Linked DNA regions of Kluyveromyces lactis. The protein of the gene in region 1 interacts with the protein of each later gene in a biochemical or structural test. Links are inferred from orthologs where the notes say so. Each region holds a gene or a part of one and is shown on either strand. Other genes may lie near its edges. The genes, in order: KOG1 and TCO89.

The links.
Region 2: the proteins of KOG1 (region 1) and TCO89 form a complex in vitro, tested with the Saccharomyces cerevisiae proteins (2 studies listed by BioGRID). The link is inferred for Kluyveromyces lactis from reciprocal best matches to the Saccharomyces cerevisiae genes KOG1 and TCO89.

Annotation. Positions count from the first base shown.
Region 1 is NC_006037.1:829,319-833,252, reverse strand, and holds the start of KOG1 (ubiquitin-binding TORC1 subunit KOG1), read left to right. Parts: upstream 1-1,468; coding exon 1,469-3,934. Other genes in the region: Elongator subunit IKI1, read right to left, coding at 1-823. UniProt on the Saccharomyces cerevisiae protein: Component of TORC1, which regulates multiple cellular processes to control cell growth in response to environmental signals. Nutrient limitation and environmental stress signals cause inactivation of TORC1.
Region 2 is NC_006041.1:1,673,306-1,677,179, reverse strand, and holds TCO89 (Tco89p), read right to left. Parts: upstream 2,749-3,874; coding exon 580-2,748; downstream 1-579. Other genes in the region: PAN2 (poly(A)-specific ribonuclease), read left to right, coding at 1-304; VPS45 (Vps45p), read left to right, coding at 3,106-3,874. UniProt on the Saccharomyces cerevisiae protein: Component of TORC1, which regulates multiple cellular processes to control cell growth in response to environmental signals. Nutrient limitation and environmental stress signals cause inactivation of TORC1.

The DNA.
Region 1 (3,934 bases):
TTGCACCACCACTGTTGAAAGATTGAGCTTCAAGATATGGCAATTCCACTTGGTCTTTTGCCAGCTTCTGTTTCTCCGAAGTGTTCAAGTTGAATGTTGTTAAACCCTCAAACATTTCTGGACTTTCGTCCGTTACTGGTTCTTGTTTCTCTATCACATATTCATAATCATGTGTTTTCGAATTGATTAAGAACTTATTCTTGATAGCCCTACCGGACTTTCGCTTGTTCGTTAGAGTGATATAATATGTGGGATTGTTCAAGTTCTTGGGTATCACAAATCTACTTAAATCTGCATCCAAATCGTCCTCGTCTATGGAAGTCTTCGGAGTAACTTCTATAACCGTATTAGCAATAAATTGCAAGAGTTGGATCGCAGTTGGATAGTTCTGGAGTTCTGCTGGACGCCAGGCTGGTATCGACTGATGATATGTAGCCAATATTGTCACAAATGGCGATGCAATGGTAGATATGAATTGTGTCAAGCTTTCAGAACCGATATAATTGAATGTATCAAAGATCACTAAATGCATCTTAGGAGCTTGTTCCTGTGGCTGCGGTAGGTATGGTTGTAATGCTGCAACTAGTTGCTGGGTGGTTTTCCCCGACGCATCTATGAATTGGCGTGCATATTTCGGTCTATTTGGAGTCTCAAATGATACGAAAACGATCGGCATTTCGTCTGGTATGTTATCTAGGAATTCCTCAACCACAAATCGGCTGCTTTGTGCCATCGTATCGGTACATAGTATTAGCGAAGATTGTTCCTTCAGTGAGAACGTCCTCTTCAATAGAACTTTGGGATTATTATTAGTAGAAGCCATCTCAGAGAATAAAGAGCACGCAGTATATTCGTGATAGATCAGATACCCTGAAAGAATGCTGTAACAGTCGAAATAGATGAAAACAGGCTACTCATAAGTACTAGTTCCCCGCATGAACCTTGATCTTATCTCATCTCATCGCCTGTCAAAGTGAATATTTCACCAAGCATTTGGTATGTGAAATTGCATATTTATAACGTAGATCAAAATAAAAACACATAAAAGTATCCAATAACGGTCCCATTTAGTGCACTTGAAAGCGCAAACCAGTAAAAGTTAGATAAACTGTGGTTATTAAATATCTGGGTTACAATCGAGGGGGTATTGAAGTGGTTGATATAACTTTATTGGATATCTTCCCAACGTTACCCTGATATAAAATATTCGGGTAACAATATACTCAAAGTGTTTGCGTAAAAATACTGTAAGCTCATATACAGATACTGGTCAGTAAGTGTGGAATGATTGGAAAGATAAGGTTTTTGAAGAGCATTTAGTGGGTTTGAAGTCAATTTAGCGAGTCTTCATTGACTAGCAGTTAGGTAATTACTATTTGTACGATTTTCTGCGTTTAAATTTTGTCAGAATCGACCGGTACTGCCACTTTTATCAGAACCAGTTGTGAATAGAACCAATCCTGAAGCAATGGTTGTTTACGGCCCACAGCCTTTGACACGGCTTAATACTGAGACTAGACATGGGTTTGAAGAGCAGTATTCAAGTGAGAAACTCTTGGAGGCGCATGCTAGCAATTTTATATTTTATTACGATGATAAGAGGCATCGAACCAATGGGAATCCAGTTCCTGAGGAAGTGAAGCAAGAGGATAAGGATGGATATTACCAGCCAATTCCTGATTGGAAAATAGTTAAGGACAGGCAGAAGACAGTTGCAGCAGCATTATTACTATGTTTGAATTTGGGAGTGGATCCTCCTGATGTGACTAAGACTCAGCCATGTGCAAGACTTGAATCATGGGTTGATCCCCTTGCATTTCAGGATTCTAAGAAAGCTATTGAACAAATAGGAAAGAACTTACAGAGTCAATACGAGACGCTATCACTACGTACTCGTTATAAACAGAGCTTAGATCCCTGTGTGGAAGATGTGAAACGCTTCTGTAATTCATTGAGAAGGGCTTCGAAAGACGAAAGAATTCTGTTCCATTATAACGGTCATGGTGTACCACAACCAACACCATCTGGAGAAATCTGGGTTTTCAACCGTGGATATACTCAGTATATCCCGGTTTCATTATATGATTTACAAACTTGGCTAGGAGCCCCTTGTATATATGTCTGGGATTGCAATAGTGCTGGTAACATTGTATCCAACTTTAAAAAGTTTGTTCAAAAGAGATTGAGAGACGATAGAGAAGGCAATCATGATATGGCATCACCTTCACCTACAGAAGCATACACTGAATGTGTGCAATTAGCGTCATGTGCAAACAACGAATTATTGCCCATGAACCCTGAATTACCCGCAGATTTTTTCACCTGTTGTCTAACGAATCCAATAGAAATATCTGTTAAGGTGTTTCTAATGCAATCTCCTTTGAAAGACACCAAATATTCCGTGTTCTTCCAAGATAACGATCCTAGAAGAAAAGAGACGGGTGTGAATGAAATGCCTAACATTACGATACCGGGGAAATTGTCTGAGCGTAGGACTCCCCTTGGTGAATTGAATTGGATATTTACTGCTATTACAGATACCATTGCATGGACATCATTACCAAGAGCACTATTTAAGAAGCTATTCAGACATGACCTCATGGTCGCGGCATTATTTCGTAACTTTTTACTCGCCAAAAGAATAATGCCTTGGTACAATTGTCATCCAGTATCAGACCCAGAGTTACCAGACTCAATTGCTGATCATCCAATGTGGAGATCGTGGGATCTAGCAATCGACGAAGTATTGACCAAACTTCTGGAAAGTGCTCATGCTAATGCAAAGAATTCAAACTTCCCTGAATCACAGTTTATAAGCCAACCAAACGAAGGCAATGAAACCAATGACGGGCTGCAATCGAAAAATACTATTGGAAACCTGAGCTCCATGTCATTGGTAAACTTTAGTTCAACAGCACATACCTCCAGCGGTAATTCAGCCTCGCACCCGACTACCTCTCAACAACAACAGCAACAATTTACGAAATTTTTTGAGCAAAATTTAACCGCATTTGATTTATGGGTGAAATATGGGGCTAATTCAAGACATCCACCTGAGCAGCTCCCCATAGTACTACAGGTTCTCTTATCACAAGTCCATCGTGTTAGGACTTTGGTACTGCTATCTAGATTTCTTGATCTTGGACCATGGGCTGTATACCTATCACTTTCAATTGGGATATTCCCTTATGTTTCCAAACTGCTACAAAGTCCTGCCCATGAGTTGAAACCAATTCTAGTGTTCATTTGGGCTAGAATTTTTTCTATTGACTATAAAAATACCCAAACAGAACTTATAAAGGAGCGTGGATACCAATACTTTGTAAAGATGCTTGTACCTGAGTTTGGTGTCCCAAGAGGACATAGTGTCAGTAGTGCTGGAAGTCCCTTGACTATGAATGTACCTGCAAGTTCTTCAACACAGAGGTACCAGATGTATCAACAGCAGCAGCAGCAGCAAGCATATAATAACGCGACGTTATTATCTAACAATAATACTACAGATGAACAAAAGGCAATGGCAGCATTTGTCCTATCGTGCTTTGTTCGCGATTTCCCCCTTGGTCAAAAACACTGTTTCAGCACTGAATTAGTAAACAAGTTATGCTTCTTTATCGAAAATTCTGAAGTTCCGTTATTAAGACAGTGGTGTATCATTTTACTTGGTCAGTTATACATTCACAATCCATTGCATAAGACATTATGCCTCGAAAATGAAAATATGAATACAATCATAGAGTCTTTAAAAGATCCAATTCCAGAGATCAGATGTGCTGCGTTATTAGCAATCAAGTACTTCCTTTCTGAAGAAGACGATGTTAACATTATCTTGAAACTCCAACAAGAATTTCAGCAACAATTACAACAATTCCAAGCGCAGCTGCAGCTTTTGCAATCTCAACAAAACCAGCAGCAGCAGCAGCAACAGGGAAAT
Region 2 (3,874 bases), on another chromosome or scaffold:
AGGACATGGATTAACCAATGATTTCAGACAGATCAATATATATGTCCCAGAATCTCAAATTAGAGACACGTCGTTGTATTATTTAAAAGGGAAAAGATATCTTTCTCTACGTTATTTGGCGTTCGCGGTTTTGAGAAAACAGGTGCAAACAGGAAATCATGACTCCATCGAAGACGCACATACTGCGTTGTTACTTTATAGAAAGTATTTGGAGCTAAAGGAGAAGGGTGTATTTGAAATGTATCTAGAGAACATTTATGATGAAGGAAGAAAGTTCGGCTTCAAAGTTCCTGACACGATTTGACGTAGTGATATAAAATCTTCTAAATAATACGTTTATAAATGTGCGGAATATATGCTATCTGGAAAATGACAAGATACTATTTGACAACCTAATACCTCATGTTCGATTTATATTTTGATAAATAGCTTCAATAATTCATTAAGATTATTGTTTTTTATTCTGAAAGTTACATTTAAAGTTTATATCTTAAAGTGAAACTTCTTAGAGAATGATGAAAATACTACAATATGTCGAGTGCATATCCGAAATGCTTGTGAATGCATATATACTTCTGTTTACACATGCTGTTGGTTCAAAACATGCTCCATTCTTCTATTTACTGCCCTAGTAGTGGGATGCAACGAGTTTACTGCTCTTTGATGTTGAGAACTGGACATCCGGGATGGACGGGTGTTTCGATAGGTACCGGGGTGCTGCACTGTCATGAGTTCAGGATTTGATTGAACTAGAGGATTTTCGTCCTTATTAAATTCTAATGTATTGCTGTTCCAAAGTTTGGTGAGCATACGTTGCATTTCCAACTTATTGGCAGTTGAGTTAGTTTCCTTGGATGATTTACCCTTGTCGTAATCGACTCCGAAGAAGCTTCCTGCGTTCTCACCCGTGCTAATTTTCTTTTGTTTTTGTATTTCAATACTTTGTTGTTGCGATATTCTGCTCAAAGAATCTGCCAACGGATTAGAGAATCTTCTAACATTAGTGTATTCTCTAGAAATTCTTTCAAATTCTCTTCTCACCTCCACATTCGAGGCCAAGAACACTGCATCAGGAGAGGTGTTTTGACTGCTTAGATCTTGTATTGAATTTTCTCTTTGCAACCATAACTTTTGTTGTGTTCTTGAGTCAGTTCCGACGTCTCCGTATTGCAAAAATGACGAGAAATCTGTCATGCCATTACCGCTGGTATCATTCTCACTGTACGATGGTTGCCGATAGAGTGATTGCTGCCGTGGACGTGACTGAGATACAGTGTTCGCACGTAAAAGATGGTCGCGTGAAACGGGCCTTGTCAAATGACTGGTTAAACTGGATATAGCTGTAGAAAAGTCGGCCTTCGATTGTTTCGGCTGCTGTTCTTGATGGCGCGGAGGAGATGGCTGATCAATATTGTCATTTTTCAACGAAGCTGCCAAATCTTGATTGATATAGTTAAATTTATTGGATTTTGTATTCTGTATCTTGAGAGATTTATCGTTATTATTTTCGGCTGGGTCGAGCCATGCTAACGAACTCTGACGAGATAATTGATCAAATCTTCTTTCCATTCCGGTAGACTGAGATAGAATCATATCAGGAACGTATTGTTCCGTTCCTTGTGTTTCAGAGTCGATATTAGAACCATTCAGAGCAGTGTTGTTGCTATCAGGAATCATATTGCCATTCTTACTGGAGGAGGAACTGTCATTACTATGGGGATCCTCAGGAAACTGTTCATCAGTTACAGCGCCAGCTTTTGCGAATGAATATCGCTTAGGATCATCACTACCAATATCCTCATTTGCTTTTTCGTTTGTTGCTGTATGTGTAATTCCGTCAATAATATCTTCTTCAGTATAACGACGCACTCCTTCATCGACGGCAGTGTTCGCTGCTATAATATCCTCATGCTCCGTAGTTTCCACATTATAAGATTTCTGCAGATTACCGTTTCCATTATTGAAATCAAACATATGTTGCCTGTGGCGTCTTAGACTATTCGTGTTCGATATAGTGTCCTGATTGCCAGGGTCAATAAGGTCATCTTCCCTGTCAGGAGCGTCAATTTTGTCATTATCCATTGGGCTCACAGCTCTTGATGAAATATGATCATCATCTGCATCAACTCTGTTTCTAAGCCGTGACGGTGGTTTATAGCTCAATGGCCTTTGTAGAGGTCTACCAGAATCCACTCTTAACCCAGCTCTGTCCTGAAAATCATTGATGCTATGCATCGAGTTCCTCTGAGTTGTTGAATTTTTGCCCGTTCCATTTATTGTCTCATCATCTGATGCATCATCTCCTTCTATATCGGTGAAAGACTCTACCTCTTCATCAGTCATAGAATCGTTATCCCCAGAATCGTGAAGATCTAGGATGACGGACTTGGAGTTCCTATCACTAATTAGGCCCTTATGCTTCATGCTGTGACTATTCTGGTGTAGCACAACTGGATGAGATGATGTTCTTACCAATGCCGTCATACTGAGACCACTGTGTACCGTGCGTCTGTTCAATGAGTCCGAACTCTTCGATTTCTTCATAGGATCGAAAAGTCCTCTATTCAATGCATCGTGGCTTCCTACCTTGTGTAATTTCTGTAAGTTCTTGAAACTGGTGTTGCTCTTGCTCCTAGATTTTGCAGAGAACTGTTTAGGTTTTCCATGTCCTTTCTTCTGCTTCATATACTGTGATAGACTGGTATCTGAATTAGTCTTCACAGGCTTCACACGGGAAATTGTGGCCATTGTTGTAAAGAATAGCCAGTAGCCTCAACTTAAGAATTATTACCTTGACTGTACAGAATTGTGGAAAAATTGCTATTTCCCACCTAAATGTAAAGTTTGGAATCACAGGCTATAGCAAGATTGTTGTTCCTGTGTTTGTTTGTAGTTAAACAAAGATGGATTGATGTGTGCCAGAATCTTAGTTTCAACTCTTTTTGAAAATAAGTATTAAAGGAGAAATGACCTTAAACTTTTGCATGGAACAAAGTAGCAGTGAGAAACGGTAGATTAAGGCTGCTGTAGCGCGTGCCAACGGTGAATCAGCAATTAAGATATCCAAGTTCTTTTGAAATTGAGAGGATAGAGCACTTTTTCGTAATGAATTTGTTTACGGTTGGTGATTATTATATCAGCAGAATCGCAAATTTCCAGTCCAAACCGTCGGACACCTCGATACAGGAGAAGTCGAGAGTAAAGGCATTGATTTTGGATAATGACACACTCTCTACGATATCGATGTGTACTACTCAAACCGAGCTATTAAAGCACGAGATTTACTTGGTCGATAAACTTGAGAATATTCACAGAGATCCAATGCCACATTTGAAATGTTTATGCTATTTGAAACCCACTGAGGATACGATTCAAGACCTATTACACGAATTACAGGATCCCAAGTATGGCGAATACCAGATTTTCTTCAATAACCAGGTGAGTAAGTCCCAGTTGGAACGGTTAGCCGAAAGAGATGATATGGAGGTTGTCACACATGTAGAAGAAGTTTTCCAAGACTACCTAATTGTGAACGAGGATGTCTTCACTTTAGAGATCCCGTTGTACAATCTTCTCCAAAATCAATTGGTATGGGATCCAAAGGGATTGCAGGAGACGTCTAACGGGTTAATCTCATTGCTACTATCGTTAAAACTAAATCCGACAATTGCGTATGACTCGGATAGCAAATTGTGTCAAAAGTTAGCTAAGGATTTAGAGTATGAAATTAAGACAAATGAAAGGCAGTTATTTGATTTTCCCGTCAGAGATTCGAATCCGTTACTAATTTTACTTGACAGGAAATCGGATCCATTGACACCATTACTTCAACCGTGGACCTATCAATCGATGATAAATGAATATATCGGAATAA